Linked DNA regions of Rhinolophus ferrumequinum. The protein of the gene in region 1 binds, or shares a complex with, the protein of each later gene. Links are inferred from orthologs where the notes say so. Each region holds a gene or a part of one and is shown in the gene's direction. Other genes may lie near its edges. The genes, in order: MYBL2, RBL2, E2F4 and RBL1.

The links.
Region 2: MYBL2 (region 1) and RBL2 share a complex: the UniProt entries of both Homo sapiens proteins name them as parts of the DREAM complex. The link is inferred for Rhinolophus ferrumequinum from reciprocal best matches to the Homo sapiens genes MYBL2 and RBL2.
Region 3: MYBL2 (region 1) and E2F4 share a complex: the UniProt entries of both Homo sapiens proteins name them as parts of the DREAM complex. The link is inferred for Rhinolophus ferrumequinum from reciprocal best matches to the Homo sapiens genes MYBL2 and E2F4.
Region 4: MYBL2 (region 1) and RBL1 share a complex: the UniProt entries of both Homo sapiens proteins name them as parts of the DREAM complex. The link is inferred for Rhinolophus ferrumequinum from reciprocal best matches to the Homo sapiens genes MYBL2 and RBL1.

What each region holds. Positions count from the first base shown.
Region 1 is NC_046306.1:13,696,773-13,703,706, reverse strand, and holds the start of MYBL2 (myb-related protein B), read left to right. Parts: upstream 1-3,916; 5' UTR 3,917-4,111; coding exon 4,112-4,131; intron 4,132-6,934. UniProt on the Homo sapiens protein: Transcription factor involved in the regulation of cell survival, proliferation, and differentiation. Transactivates the expression of the CLU gene.
Region 2 is NC_046298.1:7,167,751-7,174,575, forward strand, and holds the start of RBL2 (retinoblastoma-like protein 2), read left to right. Parts: upstream 1-3,809; 5' UTR 3,810-3,929; coding exon 3,930-4,169; intron 4,170-6,272; coding exon 6,273-6,403; intron 6,404-6,825. UniProt on the Homo sapiens protein: Key regulator of entry into cell division. Directly involved in heterochromatin formation by maintaining overall chromatin structure and, in particular, that of constitutive heterochromatin by stabilizing histone methylation.
Region 3 is NC_046298.1:16,922,213-16,929,515, forward strand, and holds the start of E2F4 (transcription factor E2F4), read left to right. Parts: upstream 1-4,294; 5' UTR 4,295-4,470; coding exon 4,471-4,605; intron 4,606-5,041; coding exon 5,042-5,151; intron 5,152-5,291; coding exon 5,292-5,453; intron 5,454-5,771; coding exon 5,772-5,815; intron 5,816-6,534; coding exon 6,535-6,596; intron 6,597-6,807; coding exon 6,808-7,105; intron 7,106-7,303. Other genes in the region: EXOC3L1 (exocyst complex component 3-like protein), read right to left, coding at 78-203, 339-456, 535-1,147, 1,689-1,908, 1,990-2,165, 2,370-2,415. UniProt on the Homo sapiens protein: Transcription activator that binds DNA cooperatively with DP proteins through the E2 recognition site, 5'-TTTC[CG]CGC-3' found in the promoter region of a number of genes whose products are involved in cell cycle regulation or in DNA replication.
Region 4 is NC_046306.1:18,788,070-18,795,594, forward strand, and holds the start of RBL1 (retinoblastoma-like protein 1), read left to right. Parts: upstream 1-4,510; 5' UTR 4,511-4,637; coding exon 4,638-4,793; intron 4,794-7,525. UniProt on the Homo sapiens protein: Key regulator of entry into cell division. Directly involved in heterochromatin formation by maintaining overall chromatin structure and, in particular, that of constitutive heterochromatin by stabilizing histone methylation.

The sequences.
Region 1 (6,934 bases):
TTCTGGCAAGGATGTGTTTCCCCCAGCTTCTGATGAAAAAATTGAAACAGGAAAGTGGAAAGACTAATACAATAAACACCAGTACCCACCATTTATTTTCAAAAACTAACATACTGCCATATATGCTTTATGTTAATTTTTCTTACTGAACACTTGAAATGAAATCGGATATAACACTTTACCCCTAAATATACTTCATTCTATAACTACAATATACCATTATGACGTACTATTTAATGCTTATTCAAATGCCTCCAAATTGTCCCCAAAGTATGTTTTATAGATGTTTTTTTCAAGCCAGGATCCAGTCATGGTTCACACATTGGATTTGTCTCTAGTCTGCCTACCTCTTTTGTTTCTTTTTTTAATGGCATTGACTTTTTGATGAGATTAAATTAGGTGTCCCTCACTCTGGGTTTATCTGATAGTTTCATCATGGTGTCTACTAACTTCTCCCTTTAGCTCCTTTATTTCTTGCGAACTGGAGGTTAGGTTTAAAGGCTTGACTAGCTTTCAATTAAACATTTTTGGCAAGACTATTTCATAGGTGATGCTGTGTATAATACGAGGTCAGATTGGACCTCTATTAGTGAAATGAAGTTGAATCACTTGGTTAAGGTAGTGAGCAGGGGTGCTTTAAATTCAAACGTGAACTATTAATATAAGAATGCCCTTTAACCCCAGTTGCTGTTCACCTATGTGCACGAACTTTTTCCAGCCTCTTGAGATGAAAAAGTTAACTGACTTGAACAAGTGTTTCAAGTTCATTCTTAAAAAAAAAAAAAAAGTTACAGTACTAGTCCTAGCAGGTAACAGCATAATTTTATTACTGGAGATTTTGTTGGAGTAAAATACACCTCTGACTGGAGAAGCATTAGTGTCAAAAAGAAGAGGAGATAACAAAGAGAAAGGGGAGATGTGTGTTGGTGACAAAACATCTTTTTCTTTCCCTAAGAGCAAGGAGGAAATTTTGTGGTATCTTATGATTCATAGATCTAGTTGGCTTTCCTTAGGTTACTGTTCCCTAAAAGGTCACAGGGCACTACATATGCCTTAATGAAATTTAAAAATTTCTTTAAATAAAAAAATTTAGGTAATAACTGAAAACGGAACTGAAGGATGAAGAGAAAGAATTTCACCCTCTTCAGGCATTCAGTTCCCCTTCGTGCAACCAATATTATCAACTTTTTTTCTCCGCCTTTAAGAGACAGGAAGAAATACACACTTTAAAAATAAAAATCTTGCTTATGCCAAATTTTAACATGAAGCCTACTGTTTCACCCCAGGGCTGCGCTCCTGCAGGCAGCCCATAATCTAATCCCGGAGAGACATTAACCTCCTAAGAGTAGAAAACGGTGACAAACAGCATAAAGGAAATTTGCAGTGTTAGGGGCTTGTCCAGAGCTGCTGACGCACACGGGGAGTCATCAGGGGAGGCTAGAGGCAGAATGGGGTCTACAGGGCTCCGGGCCGGGGGCGATTACTAACCGCGAACTCCTGTGACCGCCAAAATGTCAGAGGCCGAAGATGTACCCTCCCTGCTCCCTCTCATCCGCGGAGCTTTTCTTCCTCCGCACGACCCCAAAAGGCAGGCGTCAAGGGAGGTCTCCCAGCGACGATGACTCGGGGGGCGCGGGGCTGGCGGGATCGAAGGCAAGACAGTTGCGGGGGACCAAGCTGCCGAAACCCGAGAGGCTCCAAGCGGACCCCGAGCGCAGGCGCCCCCTGGTGACGTCAGGTAGCGAAGAGACTCCCGCGATGCCCCGCGCGGTGCCTGAGTCGGAGCGCGCGCGCCTGTAGTGGGTGCTTTGTGGGCGGAGGCGTGGGACCCGCAGTCCGACAGCACCGGGTCTTAGGCCTCCGTTTCCTTCCGGGCGCCTAGAACAGGTCAAGTCACTGCCCCGGGTCGTCGCGGGCGGCGAGAGACTGATGATGCTTGTGAGAGTACGTACAGTGTGCCAAGCAACTTCCTGAACCTCAACGGACAAGCATGAGGGTAGCTGAAGAGTAATAATAAAAATAATAACAACTAAAAGTAATATAGTACTTATTATGTACCACGGATTGTTTTCAGTGGTTTATACATTAATTTATTTAATCCTACAACCACCCGACAAAGTAGGTACCAGTGTAGTTAGTGATTGAGAGCATACACTGGAGAACTAGACAGCCTAGGTTTGAATCCCTGCTTTGCCATTTACTAGCAATGTGACATGGGGGGCGGGGGGTGGAGGGGGACAGGATACTGTGTCTCAGTTTCCCCATCTACCAAAAGAAGATAATATTAATACTACCTAATAGAGTTGTTATGAGGATTAAATGGATTAAAATTTGGAAAGCATACAGAACAGTGGCTGGCACATAAGGAAAAGCTATCTAAGTTTTTGAAAAATCTTATTTTTACAGGTGAGAACACTGATGCACAGAGGAGTTAAGTAATTTGCCTAAGACCACACAACTACCGTGTTTCCCTGAAAATAAGACCTAGCTGGAAAATAAGCCCTAGCATGATTTTTCAGGGTGACATCCCCTGAACATAAGCCCTAATGCGTCTTTTGGAGCAAAAATTAATATAAGACCCGGTCTTATTTTCCGGGAAACACGGTAGTAAATGATAGAGCCGGGAATCAAACTTTAGGAAGTTTGGCTTCAGAGCCTGGACTCTTAAATACTATGGCCTAGCAATGAAAACGTGATGTCCATATGAATTACTTTATGAGGGAGGTGGGTGACATAAGCGCTGAATTAATTGTTGTGGAAACTTCTAGCACTTAAGACGTCAGCGTTCCTTCTGCGGGAAATGAGGTTTACACCAGCTGGCAGGACTGTCCCCAGGGGTCCAGCAGTTTCTGGAAGAGGGGTCTGAGGCATACGCAGGGGCTAAGAAGGTGGGGTTCAGCCAGGTCTCCCCAGGCTCCTGTCTCAGAGTTCATTTACCTTGCTTTCAGCACTCGTCCCAGGGAGCAGGGTGTGGAGGGTACTTGGTAAATGGCAACTTAAAATGGAAAATCCTTGCTAAGCCTCTAAGAGTTTAATCACCTGAGTGGGAAACAGAATTCAACTCCACAGTTGAATTCTGGGTCTTGGGGATCCTGTGGTGAATGCAGGGGCCACTTGGACATCAGTATGCCTACAGTTCAAAGGGGAGACGCACAAGTTTATAAACAGATTGTGGGCAGTGAACCCCAAGGATAAATAGGAAATAGTCAGGTGGGAGGGGCAGGAAGTGTTCCTGGCCCAGGTAATGGCCCAAGCAAACGCAAGGAGCCCAGTAAGTTTCCTATGGTAAGGGGTGAGGTGGTGATCTGGCAGAATCCTATAAACCAGATTAAGGTGCATTTTACTCAGAGAATGAGGGCAGAGGTTTTAAGTTCTGGAGAGGCTAGATCAGTTTTACAATTTAGGAGGATCTCTCGAGCTGTCAGGAGTCCATCCGAGGAGCCAGAGCCCCTGAATTCGAGGCTGGAGAGGAAGCAGGGAGACGGTTCTAAGGCACAGCCCTGGTTTAGGTGAGTTGGCCACCTTGGGGCGGGGAGGGGGGTTCTATAGACCGTAGGAGCAGCTTGGAGTAGTCCTGGGGTCTTTGCACGGATGGTATCCCCAGCCTGATTTTCCCATCCCTGCGGCTCACTCCGTATCCTTAATCTTGGCTGTGTGGGCTACTCCTTGGCGGCTCTGATTCACACATGGCGTGAGCCTCAGTCACTGGGCAGCGTGTTCAGAGCCCTGTCTCCCAAGGTGCCACAGGCCTTGTCCTACCTGCCCTGGGACTTCAGGGCTCTGGAGCTGTGCGCAGCCGGCCTGCCTGCCTACTGGGCCGGGGCTCAGCCCCGCCTCCACCAGGCCCCGCCCCCAAGCCCGCCCGCCCGCCAGCGCGCCAGGCCCGGGCGGTGCCGACGCGCTTGGCGGGAGATAGGAAAGTGCTTCTGCGCGCGCCGGCGGCAGCTGCAGCTCCTGCGAGCCGCGGTGGGACCTGCGGGCACGCTGAAGCCTTCCAGCGCGGCCCCGAGGCCCGGAGCGGCCAAAGCAGCCCGCGCTCTGACCCCGGCCCGGCTCCCGCTCCGGGCTCAGCCGGCGGGCAGGCGAGCGCGGCGCGGCCCGGGCCGGGGGGATGTCTCGGCGAACGCGCGGGTGAGCAAAGCCAGGAGGCTTAGGTCCCCTACCCACTCCCCAGGTCCCATCCTCCTCCATCCCGACCCCTGCTCTACCCCCATCCTCATCATAGTCCCTCCGAGCGGGCGGGTGTGGGGGTTTCCCGCGGGAATGCTGAGTCCTGGGCCGCCCGAGGCAGGGGGCGCGCGAAGCCGGGGGTCTCTTTGGGCCCATCGTTCAGTTTCCCAAGCCTGCTGGGCCTCGGAGCCGGGGCGGGCGGGTCTCTTGGGCCCTGGGCCAATCCCTGCATGATGTCATTTTGCCTCCCGCCTAATTTCGGGTTGGGGGTAGGACGGCGGTGTCCGCTGGAAGAGCCATGACCGGGGAGGGAGGCGACCCCTGGAGAGGGAAAGGGATTCTCTAAGTCACAGCGCGCGAGAGGCCAAACCTGGAAGACACTTGTCGTTCAAGCCTCTTTGGGTTCAGATTTGCTGGTGGGCGGTTTTTCTCAGCATTCGGGAAAGTACAGAGCACCCCAAGTCCTCTCCCCGGCCTAAGAAGAGTGCCGGGGGGTGAGGAGGCCCTCTTTTGTCCCCCACCACCTGGGATCGCGGCCCCAGCTGGGTTGAGTTTCAGAGACTTAACTGCTCCACATGAGGAGTTTTGGGCAGCTGGAGTTAAAGGTGACGGACGAGGAAGAGAGACTGATGTGTATCACGACCTCTCTGTGCCAGCAGCCCCTGGGGCCCAGGCAGGAACTGCGGTCTCCATTTTACTTATTCCCCTGGAGAATAAGTGGTAGGGTTGAGCCTGAGACCGGGTCTGTGGGCTCCAGGTGCCTTTCTTACACCTGTGTGCCTGGGGCTTGAGCTCTGGGCTTTTCAGCCAGCCTGGGAGTCAGGGAGGACAATGAGCTCCTGCCCTGTGCCCTCCCTGGATTCATGCAGCCCAGATAACCTTAAACCCCTCTCTGGATGGTGTTTGCCTTCTCAGGCTGAGGATATCGACTTGAAAAGCACTCTTTGCAGGCTTTCCCCAGAGTTCTTTTCAGCACAGAAGCATCTGATCCCTGGGCAGTGGTCAGGGTGCCTCTTCCTCAGGCCACAATTTCCTAGGTCAGCTCCACTCCTCAGGAGTTCTCTGGTCAAGCACTTGTCAGACCCTTTCCTGATTTTTGGTTCAGGGAGTGTTACTCCAAGGAGCCATAAAAGCCAGGCCTTCTGCCACTTCTCCCTGGGGCTCAGTGTAGGAACCCCCTCCTGCACTCTCACCCCACAGCCCTCCGCTTCATCCTTGGCCACTTGCTGTAACTTCTCTGCACTGGTGCCCCACTTCCCGCTCAGCTTCTGACTCACCCCACCTGGAGCAGAGCCCAGCACATCCAAGGGTGTAGAATGGGTGTGTTGGACCTCCACGTGGTTGCCACCACTGACTTGGCTTCTGCCTTTTCAGCTGGGATTACTAGGGGAGAACTTGAAAGTGTAGGTTTGGAGCCTCGCTCAGTGGACTTGGCAAGTGGCCTAATTCCAGGGAGCCTCAATTTCCACATCTATTAAGTGGGGATAATGAGAATGCCTGTGAAGTGGATGGTTAGCACTATATTGGTGATAGAAGTTTATCTCAGAATTCGCCCAGCTGAGTTGTTGGTCCCATTAAGTAGAGTATCAGAGCATTAGAAAGTGTAGAAAGACACTTCTTCATCCTTGAAGGAACATCTGCTGAGCGTCTATCAGAAGTTGGGTGCTAGGGAACCAAAGGTAACTGTCAGAAAGAGGTCTGGGGGTAGTTGATTTTAAAGCCAGCTTCATTCATTCTGTTACAAGTATCTTGTAGAATTTTTGTCTCCTACTTTGCAATGGAGGACCCCATGAATTTGGTCAGGAATTCCAGCTCCTGTGACTAATGTATTGCTGGGATTAGACACTCTTAGACCCTTCCTTTTCTACTTCTAAAAATTTTATTTTAATTGCTATTTCTTATCTACTAATAGGCAACAGCTTTGTGTGTTTATTCATTCATTTCAGTACCGGGCATTCCCTGAGCAAACATTTAAGATCTTTTGATACCAATCCCCTAAGGCTCTGCAGCTGTGGAGGTGGAGCTGACCTCTGTGTAGATGTCAAGGAGACAGGTAGCCTAAGGGCCTACATTCTGAGCTAGGAGGATTGCCAAGGTGCCCTGGGAGCACAGGGAGATACTGACTTCTGGAGAAGGGGAAAGGAAGTTGAGAAGGAAGCCCTCTTCCTTCTTTTCACACTGGGCCTGTACTTGCCTTGCCTGTTTGGAGAAGTGTAGGCTTTTCTCACTTCCAAATGGCTGACTTAGGAATGTACCTGACTGGTGACCTGACACAGGTCCCACTCACCACAGGGAGTTGGGAGCTCACTAACCGGGGCACACCTGACATCACTGGAGGTGGATAATCATTAAACCTGATGAAGATTTTAGAGCAACTTGGAAAATTGCCTGCTAGAAAATAAAAACATCAAGAATTCAAAAAGTTGATTTTTCTCTCCATAAATTATGCCTGTGTGTTCCCAAGGATTGAGAGGGGATATGCAAAAATGGGCATAGTTAGTAAGATAATGTATTTTAAAATGTTTTTCCCAAATAACCAATATTTCTTAAAATTCTGGCACTTGATGATTGCATATGTCATCAGCTTCAATCCTTAGACTATCCATGCAAGTTTACGAAGTTTTGTCACTGAAAAGAGAATATTAAATGGGGGTCGGGTTTTGAATATCACAATATTCTTGGTGAAATCTCCACTGCTTTTTCTCTTGTAGCTTTTGACATCCTGTTCTTGAAAATAAAGAAGACAATAAAAGAGCCCATAACC
Region 2 (6,825 bases), on another chromosome or scaffold:
GTTACCTTTGCTTTTGGTGTCAAATCCAAAAATTAATTGCCAAGACTGATGTCAAGGAGCTTGCCACCTATGCTCTGGGACTTGTATGGTTTCAGGTCTTATGTTCAAGTTTTTAATCCATTTTGAGTTGATTTTTGTGTATGGTGCATGATAAGGGTCCGGCTTCATTCTTTTGCATGTGGCTGTCCAGTTTTCCCAACACCATTTATGGAAGACTGTCTTTTCCCCATTGTATATTCTTGGCTTCTTTCTTGTAAATTAATTGGCCATATGTGTATGGGTTTATGTCCTCTCTATTATGTTGCAGTGATCTATTTGTCTTGTTTTTAATGCCAATACCATACTGTTTTGATTATTATATCTTTGTAATATAGTTTCAAACCAGGAAGTGTGATGCCTCCAGCTTTGTTCTTCTTTCTCAAGATTGCTTTGGCTATTCAGGGTCTTTTGTGGTCAATATTGATTTCATGGACTCAATCATTAATGTCCATGCCCTTCATTCCAAGCAAGGCCCTTCTCACAGCCGATGGGGCCTTGACACACATTTCCCACCACCGCAGATACTTAGTTTGCAAGTTCCCCTAAAAAGAGAAGGGAGAAAAGGGGCTACCAACAAACAGGTCATATGGTGACCCCAGTCTAAAGAAACATCTTATAGCCTGAATGCAAGAAGGAAAAGAAAATGGACAAAAATGTTTTAAAATGTAGCAATAAAAAGCAGTTGAGGGTGTGTAGCCCAATATCTACTGTCATAGGCCGTAATTGTTTATGACAGAAAAGGCTCTAAGGGCATGTTGTTTTTATTCCAGAGTACCAAGGCTTCCCTATGTGTTAAGTAAAGCTAATTGTTTGTAGTTTATACTGTGGGTTGAATTTTTAGCACAACGGATTCTCATTCAAAATAAGCAGAGCTGGTAGGAGGGGTCGACCTGCGGGGCTCATAGTGTCAGGCCATATTGGACAAGAATAGCTGAGTGGAATTAATCACAAAATGACGGTTAACTCAGGTCTCAACAAGAGACTTAAAATACCAGGTAAAATGTAACTTGGCCTCAGCCCTGCTTGGGTAGATAGCATCCTCAAGTGGAAATTCAAAACAAATGAACAGTTTTTGCTAGTAGCAACACATGTAAAAATATATTTATGGGAGACCCATATAGTATTGTAAACTCAGTTGAAACCACATTCTCAATAATAGCCATTTGATAACTCAGTCTGGAAGGAATTGAACACTGCCTAATGATCACAGGGAAATAAATTTAAATTTCAATGTGTCTGGGAATGCAAGATGATAGACCCACTTTCAAAGAAATTTGGCAGTGTCTTATAAAGTTCAACATTTACCACACAACCAGCAATGCCAATCCGTCTTAGCCGGTTTGGGCGCCTTCTCTGCGTGCCCATGGTGGCCCTTTCTCAGTCCCTGAGTGTGGCCTTCTAAGGCCACCAATCCTATTGGATTAGAGCCCCACACTTATGACCTCATTTAACTTCAGTTACCTACTAAAAGTCCTATCGCTGAATGCAGTCACACTGGGGGGTAGTTTTAACATGAATTTTGGAGGGACACACATTGGGCCCATAGCACACTCCTAGGTATTTACCCAAGAGTAATGAAAATTTCTGTCATGAAAACATGCACATGAATGTTAAAGGAGCTTTTCTCATAATCACCAAACACTGGAAACAATCCAGATGTTTTCAACAATCTTTAGGGGCTTTAAAAAAAGAAAATCCAATAATTACTTAAAGGCTCAAATAAAATTTAAACTTAGGAAAGAACTAGAAATTAGGAGCGACACCGACAATGAACTTTGCCAGAAAGGCCCTTGCTATTATCCTTATTTTTTTAGATAAAAACCAACTGTTGAATGGATAAGTGTTGGGACATTCATATAAATATGATTTGCCAATAGAAAGGAACAACTGACACAAGCAACTTGGATGGATCTGAAAGGCATTATGCCAAGTTGAAAAAAGCTAGAATCAAAGGCTACATAGTGTATGATTACATTGTATGACATTTTGGAAAAGAGGGAAAACTATGGGGACAGAAAACTGATCAGTGATTGCCTGGGGATGTGTGAGGAGGGTTTACTACAAAAGGGCACTAGGAAAATTTTAGGGTGATGGAAATGTTCTATATCTTGATTGACTATATTAATTTTGACTATTGGTCAAAATTCATAGAACTGGACGCTTAAAAGAGTGAATTTTACCATATGCAGATTAATATCAGTGAGTTTTACAAAAGAACAAACAGAAGGATACTTTGTACATACATTTTTGATGAAAGGAAATATGAAAGATCAAGAAAGGACTTTCAAGGACAAAAGATTAGGATACAATTTTGTTAGGATAGAACAGGAGTGTGAGGTAAAGGAGAAAAAGGAATGATATCAAATTGCTCATTGTTAAACGAAAGTTTTGTAAATGTACTTTTTAAATGCATTATAGTATCAAAGTGCTATGACATTTAGAGTCCATTGGCTTGGAAAATATTGATAGTGACAAGCAAAGAATATTTTAATAAGACATTTGATGGTTTATGACCAATTTTACTTCAATTACATTAATTACATTAAATTTTACTAAAAAGGGTAGAGTTTTACCTCAATAAAGAATTTAAATTTTGGGCCAGCCCGGTGGCTCGGGGTTAGAGCTCCATGCTCCTATCTCCAAAGGCTGCCGGTTTGATTCCCACATGGGCCAGTGGGCTCTCAACCACAAGGTTGCCAGTTCAATTCCTCGAAAAGAATTTAAGTTTTACTTCTAGTAAAATGTTGATGATGGTATCCAAAATAAGCGATATGTCATTCTTTAAAAGTTTAGTATCCCCAGCCCAAATATAAGGAAAGTAGCAAAATTTCTTATCAACGTATTTACAAATACTTATAAAGCAGTTGTGTCCCACCTCTGTTCTTGCCCTTGATCATCTTAACTCAGCACTGAGAAAACAAATCCAACTCTACCGTGAATTTCAAGGCAGGGTGTACAAATAGGATTTCATCGTCTCAAAATTGTTCGTGAGGCATCTGTTACCTTTCCTTAGTTCCTTCTCTCCTACCTCCAAGTTTCCTCCCCCTCTTCTCTCCTGCTCCTATTAAAGCTTCCCTAAACTGCTTTTGTCCCAGTATTTCTTTTCCTCGGTTTACATAGTATCCCACTGAGCAATGACTTACGGCTTATCAAGCATGAAAATGTTTTATAATATGCCCATTTATAAATCTTAGAGGATTGGCAATAAAGTGATTCAAGTCTATAGATATGAAAATAAAGCAAAACAAAAATAAAGCAATAAAGTTAAGCCAACTGGGTGACTGAGGATAGTACACTCAATGTCACGGTGAACGTATATTGGCCCTATTGGGGGAGGGCTTTTAAAAAAGAAAATCCAATAATTACTTAAAGGCTCAAATAAAATTTAAACTTAGGAAAGAACTAGAAATTAGGGTAGACACCGACAATGAACTTTGCCAGAAAGGCCCTTGCTATTAACCTTATTTCTTTGATAAAAACACCAAGGTGATGAGTATTCTTTCTGGGGACACCTTGGATATTAAACCTTCACGTGTCAATTAACGTTTCTTGGACGTTTTCTCTTCAGTAGAGTCCTGCTGAGTGGTCTCAGGATGGGGAGGTACTTAAAATGTAGAAAAGCCGCTTTTATTTCATCCCAAAGAATACTACGAAAGCAGATTTTTTTTGGGGGGGGGTGGGGAATGATTTTTGACCCCCTTGGCTCTCCGGCCCAGACTACGTTTCCCAGCAGGCCATGCTCAGAACTACGGGTGCCTACGTGAAGTCAAGCGCCGTTAGCGGCGGCGCAGTCGCCGCATAAGTGGCCGACGGGCGGGCGCTTCGCGGTTTGAATGGCTACGGGCCCGGGCCCTCAGCTCACCTGAGGACCGGCCGCCCAGCGGTGCGCGATGCCATCGGGAGGCGACCAGTCGCCGCCGCCGCCGCCACCCCCTCCGGCGGCGGGAGCCTCGGAAGAGGAGGAGGACGACGACGGCGATGCTGAAGACGCCGCGCAGCCGGCCCGGTCGCCGACTCCTCAGACCCAGCAGCGGTTCCACGAGCTATGCAGCCGCCTCAACATGGACGAGGCGGCGCGGGCCGAGGCCTGGGACAGCTACCGGAGCATGAGCGAGAGCTACACGCTGGAGGTGAGCCCCGGGGAGGAGGCGAGGGGCTTTCCGGGCCTAGTCGCCGTGCTCGCCGCGAGAACGGGGCCCCCTTCTTACCCCGGGTCGGGCTCCTCGCCGGGACTCTCCGGCGGGTCCCTGGTCTCCGGGTCTCCAAACTGGAGACGGATGGGAATCCTCCCTGTGCACCTTAGTCGTGGAAACCTGGCGATTGAAAGGCTCTTGGTGTTCCCAAAGGGGAACCCTGTCTTGCTGTTCTTCCCTTTCGGGTTGCGAATGGGGAACACCTCTTGCCCTAACGTAGCACCGCGAGGGTTACAAAAGGACAACTACCTGGTCGGCAGAACGAACAGGTGCACTTGTCAAGCCCGGGCGGAGAAGGGACGGACGTTGTCGGTGTCCGCACCGAGATTAACCCTTTAGGGTTTCTAGCCTTCCCCTTCTGCTCTTTTTCTCCTGCACCGCATCGCCTTAGTCCAGGCGTTGCATCTGTTTGTTTGAGGAAACGCGTTAAGTTTCCGCCTGGGTTCGCGTATGTGTCAACGGGAGAAATCTCCGGGGCGAAGGAAACGGGCTTTCTGCCTCCCTGGGTGTAGACACACGCCCCCATTTGTCACTAGGAAATGAGGACGGCGACGACCTTGAGCACCTTTCGGTCCCCCAGACAGACATTGCACAGGACTCTCGTAGTCGCTGTGATGTAGGCATGTTATGGCCCTTTCTTCAGACGGGGCTTGCAGATGAGAAAAATGGTCTTGCTAGCCAGTGAGACTCAACTCTGTAGGCACCTCCCCTTTATGGGCCAATGGGAAGTGACACGGAAGTCTGGATTGTTTATCAGCTGTTTCATTGCGTGTGTGTGTGTGGCGTTCAAACCGGAAGCCACATGATTTTCTTAGGTTGTTATACGGGTTGTGGAAAGAGTAGGGCAGATAGGCTCAGAATGGGACGGCCTAATCAAGGTATTTATAATAGGATAGTTCTGCCTTTGTGTCACTAAGGTTATTTTTATTTATTTTTGCCTTAATAGGATTTTCATTCATTTCCTTCTCCCTATTGTTGTATCTACACAAGAAGAAACAAAAGCTAGTAATGTAGTAGCTTTAGAGCCTTAAGTGACTTTGGACAATTTACTTAACTACCCCCAAACTCAATTCTGTGATATGTAAATTTGAGAGATTTGTATCTACCTCACAGAGCCGTCTGAAGGTTAAATAAGGTAATATGTAGTTTCTGGCACATAAAGCACTCAGGGACAGTGCTGTCCAGTCTGCAAAGCTCTTTCATGTACTTAGGTGATCTGGCTGAATAGGCCATGTTCCTATTTATTTCTCAGTGGTTCCTGTGGTCAGGAAAAGAGAAGGACTCTTTTTTTGGTGATGGGCATTAAGTGCCTCCAAATAAGCTCTTACTTTACCCTCAGGATAATCCTGTAAATTAGGTAGAACAAGCGTTATCTCCATACGGTTGAGGTATTTCAACTCATAGAGGTTAAAGTCCTATGAAGTCCAGTGTTATATAAGCAAGTGACAAATAATAGATGCTTCGTAAATAATTTTTGAAAACATGTTTGATCACTCAATTTCTGGCCTGTGGAGCTTATAGTTGGGTACGCTATAAGATAATATTATATCAGATTACTGTATTACATAATATATTACATATTACAGAATACTGGTTACAGAGTTTTATCTTTTGATTTCTTGTATTGTCTTTGCTTCATACTTGTAACTCATTCAATTCTCACAGTCCTCAGATAAGAAAATTGAGCTTCTGTGACTGTTAAGTCATTTGCTCAAGGTATTCTACTCCCATATTGGGACTCCCAAAGCCCAGGTCCTGTGAGAGAGTCAAGTGGAATCTGTATTGCCTTTTATGATCTCGGGAAGTTACATAGCATCACTTTCGCCTGTGCTATTGGTTGAGACAGTTCAAAATGAGGGAATAGAGACTCCTGCCTCTCAGTGGAAGAATGGCAGTCACATTAGAAGAGCACATGGGATAGGGCCATCATTAAAAATACAATTCCCCACACATATATAAATATTCCTTTCTATTTAAACATAAGATTTTTGTGTTGAAATATATATAGCTCATTAGCTAACCATCAATTTTCTTTTACAGGGAAATGATCTTCATTGGTTAGCATGTGCCTTGTATGTGGCTTGCAGAAAATCTGTGCCAACTGTAAGCAAAGGGACAGTTGAAGGAAACTATGTATCTTTAACGAGAATCCTGCGATGTTCAGAGCAGAGGTAACTATGTTAGAGTTTAAAAAGTAGAATGCGATTAATATAAAAGCCCATAGACCACAGTAAGAATTATCTTTGTTCATCATTTTCTGAGCATTTGTACTTATGGCGTGCTGAACTTTGACACTAAGTCATGGCTCTCCTTTACCACATCTCAGTTAGTATCCATTATGTTTTACTTATTTGGTGAAAAATACTTAAATTTTAATATATTAGGCACTTGTATGAAGAGTTTACTATTAAAGGTTGTGGCTCATCATTCTATAATATTGGAGAATTCTGAATAAGGATATTGAAAAACTTTAGGAAATGTTCTACATTGAAAAGATTAAAAAACTATTATATGGTATTAAATTTAGAACTACACGCACAGGACTTGTATCTTAATATATATGGAATGTGTAAATACTTCTAAGTTTCCTGTT
Region 3 (7,303 bases), on another chromosome or scaffold:
CATTAGCAGAGTCCTAGTCCTGCCCTCCTCCCCTTTCCCTATGGGAGCTGCCCACCTGCCCGCCACTTCCCACTCACCTGAAGCACGATGGCTGGCATTGGTGAGTGGTAAAAGCCAGATGGGTCTGTGTCAGGCTCCTGCTCCCGGCCCCACTCAGCTACTTCCCCATCCAGTGCTTTCTGCAGCCACTGCACCACATTTGCCTGGGGGAAGGGATGAGGGGCAGCAGGATATAGCAGGGCACTGACCCTGCTAGAGACAGTTAGACATGTGACTTTGCAAATACAGGCACACAACTGGTAGCAGAGCTTCTCTGGACCTGGGCCCCAACTACTCACCTGGACTTTGGACACAAATGTTGCCTCAAGCTGCTCAATATTCTCCAGGGTCAGGAGGGGCTCCAGCTGAGACACGTCAGCCTCAGGCCCCAAGTCCAGGCTCCCCATCATTTCTGGCCTGGTGATAGGTGGCCAGTGTCACACTGAGCCTGCAGCTTCCGATCCACCCACTTCCCATTGCCCAAAGCGCACTGACCCCAGGTACACATGTAGTGCCCAGTGCAGTAAGGTGAAGGCATCAGCAGCTCCCAGCTCAGGCCCTTCCAGGAATTGCTGTAGGCAGCGGCGCAGGCCACTATGCAGGGTGTGGGCCCATAGCTGGACCACCCTGTAGTGCGGTGGGCAGCAGGGTGCTATTAGTGCCTCAGCTCTGGCCAACTCGGCTGGTAGAGCCACCCGCAGAGCCTCCAGCCACCCTGCTAGGGCCCCTGGCCCAGGCAGCAGATGTGTCCCAAAGTGGACCTGCTCCAGGCCCTCCTGTAGTGCCCGCAGACAGCGCTGCCGCCAGTCCCGGGGGGCTTGCTCCAGGGAGGTTGTGCGGCCCGTCTCCACCTCCGCCACACGCACAGCAGCCACCAGCAGGGCTGGGTCCTCCCGTGCCAGCTGTCCTGCGGCCCCTACAGCCGCCTCCACAGCCTGGCCCAGTGCCTCCGACAGAGGGCCCAACCCCTCGAAGATTGGCAACTCCAGGTGCCCCAGAGATGCCCATGTCTCCTCTTGCAGCTGCTCAAGCTCCCGAAGGCTCACATATGCCTCCAAGAGCCGTTGGGCATCAATCAAGGACTGTGTGTGGGCCACTGCAGCTGGCACTAAGGAGGGAAAAGAGGAGACCGCCCTGGGTCTCAGCCTTCCCACCTGTGCAATGGATACAGGATCAGATGCGGAGGTCCTGGGGCTGGGATCATGTGTAAAATATTTAATAACCAGTATAGTAGAGCATTAGCCAATCTGAAAGGATCCACGGAAGGTCCTAGAGGCCTGGTGGGCCAGGGGTAAACCCTTGAGCTAAAGGAACATGAGGAAGTCAGGGATCCTGGAAAGAAGGCAGAGAAGAACTGGAGGATCATTCTAATGGCTATTCACCCACTCTGTTAGGGAAATATTTCAATTTAACAACAAGGATGGCCAGAGCCACTTGACTGGGTGTCCTTTCTGACTCAGACATCCCATGCTCAGGAACACCAGAATGAGCTAATTTGCACCCTGCTTCATATGCCATCTGAAGCCTGAGTTACTTTCTGGGAGGTTCCTGGTGTGGCCCGCCACGCAATCTCCCACTAGTGTCCCAGCCCCTTGATGGGTGTTGACTGACTATTGGATGGTTGAGGCCCAGGGCCCCTGCATACTCACCTGCCTGCAGCCGGGGCAGCAGCTGAGACAGGGCCTGCAGTTGTTTGTGCTGGCTGACCTGCTCCCGCAGGGGCTCTAGTGCCTGTACAGTCTCGACCATGCCCCGGAGCAACCCATGGGCCTGGCCCAGGGCCTCACGGGCTTCCTGCATGGCCTCAAGGCCCTGGGCCAGCTGCCACACACCAGTCTTCACACCCTCCAGGTATGACTGCACCACTGACTGTGGGAGGGAGGCAGCCAATGAGGCCTGGCCAGCCCTGCCGCCCACCCCCAGCACTCTTGCCCCCTGCCTGATGCCCACCTTCATGCGTGCTTCCAGGGAGCAGGTACGCTGCACCTCACGGCTGCGGTACTGGCCCAATCTGGCCAGCTGCTCCGGCCGGTAGAAAATGCCTGAGGCCCACTTGAGTGCTGCACCCCGGGCTAGCCGCTCCGCCCTCTCCTGCTCCGGCCACTCAGGCCCTGGGCAGGAAGAGCCTGGGCAGCCATGTCAGTTGGGCAGGGCCTGAAGGAAGCAGCTGCCGAACCTGCTCCCCTTCCTGCTCTTTAGTCTGGCCCCCAGGGTGGTCCACTCATCTCACTGACCCATAGAGCTCCAGCCAGACTTGGCAAGGACCCAACCCCACCATTCCCCTCTTTCTTGCCACATCCCTCTCCCAACCCACCCGGAAGGTCTCATACCAGGGAGAAGTGCAGGCTGCATTTCGTTCTTGGTTGTTGAGTCCATGGCAGGCCCCGCAGGAGCTGGAGCTGAGGTGGGAGTCGGGGCAAGAATGTGGGTTAGAGCAGGCAGAGTGGATGCTCCTTTGAGATGCAGGTTCTCCCTAGGCCCCTCCAAGGAGGAAGAGGGAGGTTCTTGTCCAGCCCCCTCCAGAAATGCAAGGGAGGTGGTATGACGGACAGATACCCGGGAAGCCTTCCCCTGCTGGGTTTCTTAGTTTTGCCCTGTGCAGATGCCAAGTGAGGCAGGGTAGGCACAGACCTCCCCTGCTGAGTGGCAGAGGACAGTCTGGTATGGAACTCACCAGGCCCAACCAGGCATCCAGTCCTCCGCCCTCCTCACACAGCCTTGGCCTTGAGATGGCCCTCTCCCCGCTGCCCTCACAGCAGAGCTGGACACTCCCTCCACTAGCTCAGAGGGCCTGGGTGGCCCTGGCCCACACCTCAGCACACAGCAGAATTCCTCTTCCCAAGGAAGCCTGTGTCCTACCTCCCTGCCCAGGCGCCCCTTCCTCCCTCCAAGCTCCCTCCCGCCCCAAGGCCACGTAGAGAAAGGAAGGAAACTGAAACTCTGGCATTTTATTCCCAACAGGAAAGAGCATCTGCACTGTGGGATGGGGTGGGGAGGGCAGGGCGCCACTTCCTTGGGGGGCGGGGAGTCCACCCAGGACCTCTTAGTGCTCAGGACACAGACGCGAAGCAGATGGCCTCAACCTGGGGTGCAGAGGGGGTTGTGCAACATGGACGCAGACAACAATGTCACAACATGAAAACTGTGTTGATGGGCCCCTCAGAGGAGGGTGTGCACCTCTACAGAAGAGTGAGAGATCACAGGCTGCTGTGAAGAATGCTTGTGGTAGGTGATGGCAGGAGAGGGGCCCAAGGGGTATGAAAGCTGTTTATCTTGAGAGTTAAAGGGGGCCACAGAAGGGACTACAGGGTAGTTAGTAATAATGTAGTGGTCATTGGTGAACCATCCAAATCTACCCTTCAGGACAAAGGCACTTGTTCCCCTAGTTGCCAGGAGTGTAGGCTGCTGAGATCTCACAGCTGAGTCTCTGGGTCAATTTTGAGGTACAAAGGCCCAGTACCTTTGCCTGGATGTGGAACACCTTGGAAAGGCCACCCTAGTTTCAGAGCCTCTCCTAGTAGGATGGGCTGAGGCCTCTATTTTAACTGCCTCGCAGTTTAATTCCTTCTCTGTCCAATTCTGTTTGTCTTACTTCCTTATGAGCGTGGATCCTCCAATAAAGGGATTTGCAGGCAGATCCCTGTCTCAAAGTCTGTTTCCCAGAGAACTTGATCTAAAATGAAAAATAATAAATGATAAATAATGACAATGTTAAAAATAACAAAATGATACCAGCAAACACATAATTCTTCCTACATGCCAGGAACTGCTTTAAGTACTTTACATATATTTATACACCGGTAAACATGTTTGCATAGGCTGAAAACTGGTTATAATTCCATGGTCTCTGACCACTGCAGTATGGAGACGATGAGGCTGGAATCAGGGAAGGGGAAAAAGGATGGAGACAAGTGGACAAGCTAGATATAGTTAGTGCTTTTGTTTGGCAGAAAGTGAGGTATGAAAATAGGGTGGATGACCCCAAGAAAGTAGGGCAGCTTCCAGGAGCAGAATTGGGAAAACATATTGGGTTCATTAGGCAACATGATCTCTTTTCCTAAGATGGGGGGCTGGGACAGAGTTAGTGGAGTTGGGGCAGGTTGGCCAGTCAGGAAGGTTCTGGTGGCTCCCCTTTTTCTACTGCCGGGATTGCCCACCGACTTGTTCCACATGCTTCTACACCATGTCCTGTCTCCCGGGATTTGCGGGTTGTTTTCGTCCTTTTCGGCGGTTGGACATTTGCTGATGGTCCCCGAAGTTTTGCGACCGTGCCGGCAGAGAGGCATTGCGCCAGGTTCCCTGGGAGAGCGCGGAGCGGAAGCGGAAGCAGATACGCTGGCGCCGGCGGCGGGGTGGCCAGGAACGGAAGCGGAAGTGGCGGCGGCGCCGGCCTGGCCTGGCCTGGCTGAAGGGAGGCGGCAGGCTGGCGCGATGGCGGAGGCCGGGCCACAGGCGCCGCCGCCCCCGGGTACTCCAAGCCGGCATGAGAAGAGCTTGGGACTTCTCACTACCAAGTTCGTGTCGCTTCTGCAGGAGGCCAAGGACGGCGTGCTTGACCTCAAGCTGGTGCGGCCCGGGCTAAGGGAAGACAGGGGTGAATGGTGGACCAGGCCTGGGCCGGTAGCGGGAACCCCCGGGGCGGCCCAGCGGAGCCCTCAGAGAGCAGGCCACCATCCGTGCGTTTTCTCAGAGGAAGGAGGCCGGGAGCGGTTTCATTCATTCGGCCGAGGCCATTGGGTGTCCGCTATGTGCTAGTCTCCGGGCTGCAGGTGCTGATCCTCGTGGCCCTCCCCGCCTGGTGTGGGGAAAAGAGCATCAGCATATCAGTCCAGGGTGCGCCAGGCCTCTTCCCGCCCCGCGGTCCTGAGTTGCTGTAGTGCCTGGGAGGAGGGTTGGGACCTAATCCACCCCCTTTTCAGACCGCTCCAGACCAAGTCACAAGGTAGCTGGGGGTACACCTGAGAGTGGGGTTGAGCATCCTCCACTCTCTTCTGTGTGCCAGGCAGCTGACACCCTAGCTGTGCGCCAGAAGCGGCGGATTTACGACATTACCAACGTGCTGGAAGGTATTGGGCTGATCGAGAAAAAATCCAAGAATAGCATCCAGTGGAAGTGAGTGGGGGCACCTGGGAGGGTAATGGGATCTCCTATCCAGAAGTGCCAGGGGTGGGGGGTGGAGGGTGCAGGAGAGAGCAGGGGCCATGGGACCCAGAGTTTCCCAGCAGCTCCTCAGCCCCACTCCCTGCACTCAGGGGTGTGGGGCCTGGTTGCAATACCCGGGAGATTGCGGACAAGCTGATTGAGCTCAAGGCAGAGATCGAGGAGCTGCAGCAGCGAGAGCAAGAACTGGACCAGCACAAGGTGTGGGTGCAGCAGAGCATCCGGAACGTCACAGAGGACGTACAGAACAGCTGATATCCTCCTGGCAGTCCATGCTCCCGGGGAGTGGGCGAGGGCCCCTCTAGTCATCTGGGTTTGCTCTGTGGTGCCCCGGGCTGTATCCCTCTTGGGAGGATGGTCCTGCAGCTTCTGGCCAGGTCCCAGCCTCCGGCTCCCCTCTCAGAGCTCCTCTCCCACCAGTCTTGGCCTGTGATCCGTCTCCGCATAGACCCCAAGCCCCAGTACTTCTGAGGGCTTGTATGACAGACCTCTCCTAAAGAGCTGGGTCTTCTCTGTGGTCTGCCATCTGTCACCATAGGCAGGGCCTCAGTCGTTCTCCTTAACCCCCACACCTTGGCCTACGTGACTCATGAGGACATCTGCAGATGCTTTGCTGGTGAGCAGAGCCTGGGTCGGGGGAGATGGGGGTGGGGCTGGGCTGAGCCACAGCCCTGAGCAGTGGGCTCAGTACCCAAGGAGAGTTACATCTCTTCAGAGGGTTCCTGGGGCCTGCCCAAAGAGGAACCAGGCAGGGTAAGTCCTGGGTTTGAGGGTCACTGGGATCCTGTGGAGGCTAACCATACTAAGAGGGTACAACAGTCGTGGGCTGGGTCCCTGGGTCAGCCCCCATCTGCACCGGCCCCTGGTTTTGGCTTCTCAGGTGTGATGGGCATAAGGGGGGGTGGTGTGTGCATGCTTGTATGCTGAGGGCAGTGACTCCCACTTTCAACTTATAGTTTATTGCATTATGGATACAGGAACTGTTCTTTCTCCATCTTGCACCCCACAGACTGGTTCTGAGGAAGGGATGTTGGCTTTGGCCAGAACACCTACACTTAGGGAGCAGCCCCGTCAATTGAGGAGTGAGGTGCCCCTGGCCAGCAATCTTTCGTCCCACATGTTTGAATCCAGATTTTCTGGTTACTAACCACCCCCTGGGCTCTTGGAAGGAGACAAGCTTTAGTTCTCTGCCTCAGCCACTGTGGGGGATGGGTGAGACCCCCTGTCTAGCTTCTCAGAGACTGTGATTTCCTTCCTTGCTCCAACGGACAGGCACCCCTATTCCCAGCTCAAACTGAGTCCCTGGAGCCTGACCCATTCTCCTTGTTGTTCTAGGAGACACCCTCCTGGCCATCCGGGCTCCATCGGGCACCAGCCTGGAGGTACCCATCCCAGAGGTGGGTGCTCAGACCATGCAGGCGGGGTTGGTTGAGGGCGGGTGCAGGCTGTAGAACCCGATAAGTTCCGGGTGGGGCAGGTAGGTTGAGGCCTGGGGTTCGGGGTTATCTAGGAGAACGGGCAGCCTGGGGTGGGAGAGGACACTGGTCCTGGCCCAGAGTCAGGCAGGAGCCAAGACTGCTTCCAACTCCTCCTGTCCCACACCCCCAGGGCCTCAATGGGCAGAAGAAGTACCAGATTCATTTGAAGAGTGTGAGTGGCCCCATCGAGGTGCTGCTGGTGAACAAGGAGGCATGGAGCTCGCCGCCTGTGGCAGTGCCTGTGCCACCCCCTGAAGATCTGCTCCAGAGCCCACCTGCTGTCTCTACCCCTCCAACTCCACCCAAACCTGCTATGGCCCTGACCCAGGATGCCTCACGCCCAAGTAGTCCCCAGATGACTACCCCCACCTGTGTACCCGGCAGCATCGAAGCCCAAGGGGTGACCAGTCCATCAGCTGAAATCACAGGTGAGGCAAGATGGGCATCTGGATGGAGTGATCTCTGGGGCCCAAGAGGCAATACTTCTGTATTGTGGGATGCCATACTCGGAGTTGTAAGAGACCCTATGGGGGTTGTCCCTTTCATGGCCACCAACTGGCCTTCCCTTGCGATGGCGGGGGAGCCCTTTTTAACAGGCAAGCTCTGACTGTGAAGGGGCATTAGTG
Region 4 (7,525 bases), about 5.1 Mb from region 1:
ATGTCAGGACTTGCCCCACCTCCACCCCTATCAACTGCTTCTTTTTGACAGTTAGATGGTTAGGGTTTTTTCCTAAGAGGGGCATGTACTGATCGAGTACCTATTTAAGGGGCATAGCAAAGCTGGGGGGCAAAAAAACTTTTTGAACGAATGTCAAAATGAAATAGCCATGTCGAGAAAATTTTGAGGACTTTCTTACACTTATTTTGTTGAGAATTGTTTATATTTTGCATTACATTTGGGAGAGTGTACAGTATAATCTTTTTAGTCTTGGAGTCTCAAAAAGTCTTAATCAGGTTCTGGATACAGGCCCTGGGGAACTCTGAAATAGTAAACCACAATAGGGAGGTTAATCATAGAAGGGATCACACAATGAGATCAAAATAGAAACAACCTTCGTGATGTATCTAGATCAGACATGAAGGCAGAGTAAAATCTATTTCACTACCCATACTTCATTTTCTAGTCAAAAAAGCTCAGCTTAGTGCTAAATGGGCATGCCACTGGATGTTAAGAAGAAAAAAAAAACCAACGTGAACCCTGATAAAAAAGGTAGGGCCAAAGGAAAACAAGAAAGCATGCAAGTGAGGCTGGCTCTGACAGATGTGTCCTCAATGCTAAGCTGCCTAAATTTGATTGCACTGGTAATAATGAACCCCTGAAGAGTCTTGAGAAAGTGACATGCTAGAAATGCTGCTTGAGAAAAACTAGAGTAGTAACTAAATATAAAATGGGTTGGAAGAGAAAACATAAAATGTTGAGACAGCTAGAAACCTGGTGGAGGAGGAATCCACAAGATTTAGTGTAGAGGATGAAGGAACGGGGTGTCAGTGATAACACAGAGGACAGCATGGGCTGGGTTTTTTTTTTTTTTTTTGGTGAGTGTAGCAGTACTGTTTATTGAAAACTAATGACATTGTTCAGGTAGCATCCAAAGGGGGGCGGGGGCAGGAAGCCAGTACTGTTTAATTCTGCTTTAAAGGAAATAAGGGAACTCAGGAGTATTTTCCTTTTATTTTGGCTTCACTTCCAAGGCCTATACTTTCTAATAATTCAATTCAGGACAGTCTGAGAATGACGACATGGCAAAAGGAAAAAACCACAGAAGCAAGTGATTGGATGTAAAGGGTAACAGGTCAGGTGAATCAAGAGATGGGAGATGAAAATGCAAGACTTTACATAGACAGGATATGACTTATTCAAAGTCCAAGTTGAGAGTCCAGATTCAGCCCGGAAGAGAAGAAAAAAGAATAATGTTTAATGTTTCTCAGTTTTTGTTTGTTTGGTGGATGACCTTTGAGAGGTGTTTGTTTCTTTTGTTCTTGGATCATTTTCAAGCCAGCCATGCCCCTCAGTTTGTATCTGGATGATCTGAAAGTAACAGCAAAGGAAGAATCAGTATCTTGCACACAGGAGGCACTCAATAAACATTTGTGGAATGAAGAAATGTTTTTTAGGAGTTAGTATGCGTGAACTGGGAAAAGAATCAGGAGGATGAAATCTAATAGCAGAGAAGAAATGGGCTATAATACATATACAGCAACTCACTGAAATCCAAACCATCTCTTTAGAGAGATGAAAAATGGGGCGATGAGTCCCTGGTTTTGTTGGTTTATAATCCCTGACAGCTATTTCCTTTTGTATTGGTTTCTTTTCAAGGCCAGAATCACCCTCTGCAGTTCAAATCTGGAAAAAAAAAAAAAAGAGAGAGAGAGAGATTGATTAGTTATGGCAAAGGCAAAAAAACCTGAGGCTTCTTAACTCTTGTGATCTTGTCCACGACCCGCTGTGAAAGCCAGGATTGCATACGGAAGACTCATTTTTTTGTGTTTCCCCATCCTAGAAAATACCCTTCCCTTTGCCTCTCCTCCACCAAACTTCTTAAAGAGAAGTTTTTACTTCCTGCTTCAACTTTCTGACCTTCCTCCCCTTAGCCTCTTGGCGATAGTAATACGGCTTCCAGCCCCAGTGGGCTAAAGAAAACTGCTCTGGCAAAGGTCACTAAAAATATATGAATGATAATATATGAGGTCTTTGAATTCCTCATCCTATGTGAATTCTCTGCAATGTTGGACTTATTTCCTGACCTCTGAAATACTGCTCTTGTTTTTATACCTCTCTGGCCAGGTTTTTTTAAATTTTCTCCCCAAATTCTGCCCATCTCTGAATTCCACCCTTAAGTCTTTTCTCATGCCATCACACTCCCTCATACGAACCTGCTCCCTTCGCTTCATGTACTGCCTGAATATTCCCAAAATCTCCCTGTCTAGTCTGTGTCCCCACTCCTGGAATGCTTTCTTAAATAAGTACAGTAGGTTTATTAGGAAACAAATGAACCACTGCAGGAGGACTTGCATCCATCTCACCTGCACTAATCCTGACATCTCTTTGCTGATCGGAAAGGAAGTTAGGAGGATTGATAACCCGTTACAGACCCCTGGGCACTGGAGATAGACCTCCCTACAACTGCCCATAACCAATCCTCTAAGCAAAAACTCATAGGAGAGTCTGTTACAGACACTATGTGACAAGAGAATATGAGATGGTCCTACAGTCAACTGCAGTAGCTTCTAGAAGGGAGCAGAGTTGGACGTGCCACATGGGTGGTTGGGTTTGAGTTTGAGTTTTTGGGGGGAGTTTGAGTTTTTACTCATTGGAGACCCAGCTTGCAGCTGGTTCCCTAGTCCCAAAGGGCCACCTTCCAGAGTCCAACAGTCTCTCCTTAAACTTCCCGCACGCAGCATAAACACAGCAGTTCTAGAATTGGTCTGATCCCTCTGCTTACACTCTCATTATAGTTCACAGCATCACCTTTCACCCTCTTGGCCCAGATGGAAACGTGTTACAGGGGCTCCTTCCTCTTCAGCAGTGCCCCCCTTCAGTTCTAGGCCAGAGACCTGTCTCCAGGTTGGCTCCTGCGTATACTGGACCAGTCCTCTGCCATCTCCATACCTCTAGTCTCTACCCCACCCAATCCATGTGTCACACCGCAGCCAGAGGAACCTGTCCAAAACACCGACCATTCATCATCACCTTTCATTAAAACCTTCACTGATAATGTCCAGGCTTTTAGTGGAGCATATGAGGGGCTTTGCAACCTACCTTGCCCTGTCCCATTTCCATCTCTGGTGACCTCTTCCCTCATCCAAGCAACAATGGGCTCTTTGTAATTTCTCAAATACAACATGCTAAGTATTGAGTACCAACTACCAGCCAGGCGCTAGTCTAAACTTCGGAATATAGTGAATATGAAAGGAAGGCCCCTGCTCTCATGCAACTCACATTTGAGTAGGAAGAGCCAGTGAATACACAAGATAATTTCAGATAGTGATAAGGTACAATGAAGACAAATGGGGTTGGAGATAGGGTCAGCTATTTTAGGTACGGTGCTCAGAGATGGCCTGAGAAGGCCACAATTAATAGTTGAACTTGAATGAGGAGAAGCCAGACAAGCAAAGATCTGGTGTAGAGTATCTGGGGCTGTTTGATCAGTGTGTGACAAAGGCCTTAACGTAAGAACTTAGCTTGGTAGCTTGGCATTTTCAAGGTTCCAAAACAAAGCAGTGAGGTTGGACCTTATTACATACCTGGGAAGGGAGCGGAGAACATGAATGAGGCCAAATCACATGGGGCCTTGTGGCCATACAAAGGAGCCTGGATATTTTAAAGGCAAGACAAACCTATTGAAGAATTTTGAGTGAAGGACTAACGTGCTCTGATTTACCTTTAAAAAGATCACTCGGGCTCTTCATGAAGAGGGGGTTTTGGTGGAGCAGAGGGTAAGCTTCAAGACCAGTTCCACGCCTTCAGGCTTATGCTCAGGCCATTCCTAATACTGGAAAGACTGTCTTTACCAGGACGGTTCCCAGGGCCCAGGGAGCTGAGAAAGGTCCCCCTTACTGCATTTCTCTTAGTCCAGATCAAGCCTCATTTAGCGATCAAGACATGGCGAGGTGTCTCCGACCATCCTTGCCTCATCAACCCTTCAGTCATTCAACAGACCACTCGCTGGGCGCTGGAGTCACTGAGGAGACTCCAACGAGCCCCCCATTCCCACCCCCTACTCCCCCGCTGTCAAGGGACCACTTTTTTCGGTTCCCTACTCCATCTCTAACACAAGGGGTAAGTCTCAGACTGTTTGGCGCCGCAGAGCAGTAACAAACCAGGCCCATGCGTTGGCGGGACAGAGGAGCCTTCTTCCTAAGATGAACAAGGCCACCTAGTAATAGCCCCAGCCCTATCCCACACCCAAGAGCCGCGGAGACAAGAGTGGCGCCGCGGGCTTCGAGGTAGCATATGGACTACAACTCCCAACAGACTCTGCGCGCGGACTGCTGATCCCTCCGCTCCCAATTTGTCCTGCCAGCTGTGCCCACAGCTGCCTGCCGAGGGCCAAGACCAGGTTTTTTTCAGCACCCGAGGTCCGTCTTCTAATCACATTTCCTGAGAGGGACCGCTGGGAGCCCTGGAGGAGAGACGGACTTTTTCGGCTAGAACGCGGATGCAGACTATCGTAGAGACGTCGCTCTAAAACGGCCGATTTTCGCGCGCTTTGGCGCGGGTAGTTGTGGGTAGGGCGCCCAAGAGGGAGAAAGGAGCCGGGGGCTGTGATCGCGCCGCCCGCCGGGCCTGAGGGGATGTTCCAGAACAATCCCCACGCGGAGGGGGCGACGGTGGTCGCCGCGGCCGGGGAGGCGCTGCAGGCCCTGTGCCAGGAGCTGAACCTGGACGAGGGAAGCGCGGCCGAAGCCCTGGACGACTTCACCGCCATCCGGGGCAACTACAGCCTAGAGGTGAGCGGCGGCAGGTGGGACGGCGGGGCTCGACCCTCGCCAGGCCCCACCTCCGCCCCGCCCCTACCCTACCCTACCCTATGGGGCGGTGGGAGTTTCCCCACCGAGAAGGGTCGCCGCCCAGCCGGGCGCTGCAGAGTGCGAAGCTGGAAGGGCGAGTGCAGATCATGCTATCCTTTTTTTTTTTTTTTTGTGAGGCGGGAAACTGAAGTCCGGAAAAGGAGGGGTTTGCCCAAGGTCACACGCCACTCAGGGGGTCCCATAGACTCCACACCAGACTTCCCCCCGTCCTGCCAAGCGCCACAAACGTCACGTTACTGCGTTTAAATCTATTACAAAACCAAATACTATAATGAGAAAAGCTAAAATGAATTGTGTGCCAAGACATCACTGCCCAGCGCTTTAAGTATGTCATCTCACTTAGTTCTGGCTACAACCTCTTGAACCCGTTCTGTGATCCCCATTCTCTCAATGAGAAGCTGAGCTCCAAAGAGGTTAAGTTACTTGCCCAAGGTCACGTGGTTAGTGGTGGAGCCAGACTAAGGAGTCCGAGCCATTTAACCTCTCCACCCTTACGCCTCCCTAGGGCGGAAGTGTGGGTTACTCACTTTGAAACCAATGTGCATTCATACAGTGCTACCTCTCAGCTCCAGGTTCCTCCTCTCTCAGATGGGGATACTTAGATTATCCTGATGCTTTCGCACAATATCAGGCCATGACATAAAATAAATGTAGACAATCATTATTAGATTTTTCCTAGTCATTCTTGGGTTTAGTCCTCACGATAGCCCTGTGAACATGGCAAAGGAGTGTTACACCTGTTTTCCAGGTAATAATATTAAGGCAAGCATAAGCCCAGTGTACAGATAGAATTGTGATTGAGTGTATTTCAGCAATGAATCCAGTGGCCTTATATTCAAAGGCTTTCATGATCCTAGGGGGCCGGACTCAAAAGGTAGAGTGCTCCACTGACTCACCACCCAGTGAAATAATTAATTGATGGATTTAAAGGCAGAGTTGGAAATTTGGAGTTGAGTGTACGTGTCTATATATAAGGGAAAAGTACCCAAGACTCTTGGATGTCTCCATAGTAGCTCTAGATATACTGGGTAAAAGACAGTGATCTGCATCCATGGGGAACGTGACTGGAAAGCTGGGGAAAGAATAAGAAAGTAAGGAAGGTTATGAATTATTGTCTCAATGAAAACAACTGATTTTTAAAAGCCCGAGAAAGCATCTCTGACATCCCAGGTCCTCACTTAGTCTCTTAGTGAATAAGCTTTTACTGAGTGCCAACTGTAGTCAGGCCATTAAACTAGGCACCTCTTTCAGATTCTTGAATATGCCAAGCTCGTTCCCACTTGTGTGCTTTCTCCGTGCCATTCCCTGTACTGGGAAACTTCCCTCACTCACAACTCCAGGGAAGATTGAACAGCTAGATCTCCAGTTAGGCAGAGTTGATCAGGACCTCTTAAATTTTCGATTTAGAAAGCCCATATGTGTGAATTAAGATTTCATGAGTGTTGATTCTATCCACAGTGTTTTATTTTCTCTTTTTTCATTTTTGTTTGTTTTATGGTGAAGACTCTTGCAGTAGGCATCTTCATATATCTGCTGCTTCGTAAGAACCCTTCCCTGCAGCCCCTACGCCTCTCTAGTCCACCTGACCATCTCCTGCATACATTTTCCCTTGCTCTTCCCCTGCTCTCCTTACATTTTGGTGATTTACCACTTACCAATTTTAAGTCTCCCTCTGTGAATCCTCCCCTGACCTCTAGTCAAAATTATACTCACTACACTGTATTTTCCCACAACACGTTATTTTCATTTCTTACAGCATCTATCTGACCAATAATAGATAATAATATCTGTTCTTCTTGGCTCTAGACTTGGAGTTCCCTGAGGTCAGAAACTGTTTGTATTTCTAAGATCTAGCATCAAGGAATTAGAATAAATAATATAGGGAAAAAGTAATTCCAGTACTTAAATATTCTTTATCTTAATGTTGTTTTCATCTAGTAGCGTGTATCCAAAGGCTCTATAATTCTTGGATACTGGTTCCAAATAATTCATTACTCAAGGATTCTAAAAATATACAGCCTTAAGACTACCTGCCTCATTTAATGCCTTGAGCAAATAAGACTTCTCACTACTTTAATGTAGGAACACTGGGTTTTAGTTTAACTTTATTGGCGGCCACCCATTTCTGTCCACCCCTTTCGGATTATTGCAAGAAATCTATCAATCTTTTTATCCTTCTAGAGTCTAGTCTTAAAGAGGATCTGTGGAACAGTAATAGGAGCAGTTATTTGTTACTCTGAGATTTGTGTCTAACTCTTAAATTTCACGTATAGTTCAGCAGTGAAGTCATGAAGTGATTCTAGCTTGGAGATATCTCCAGTCTATGTCAGAGGATTAAGTGTTCAATTCCCAAATGTCACCTTTTTTTGTAGCATTGTAAATTGAGATATCTGCTAAGATAGACATCTATACTTACTATAACATTTTAAAGATTGGGGTAAATAATTTCCCCAATTTTTACCTCATAAAAATGAGTGTCTTTTATGTTGTGCAAGATAGGATTAATATTTTATGTGTGATTCCCTTGTCATCATTCCATTCTGTTCTTACCTTTCTCTGCCAAACTGGTTAAAAAAGAAACATAAAACTAAAATGGTAGAAAGGGGGGCAGCCAGATGGCTCAGTTGGTTAGAGCATGAGTTCTGAACAAC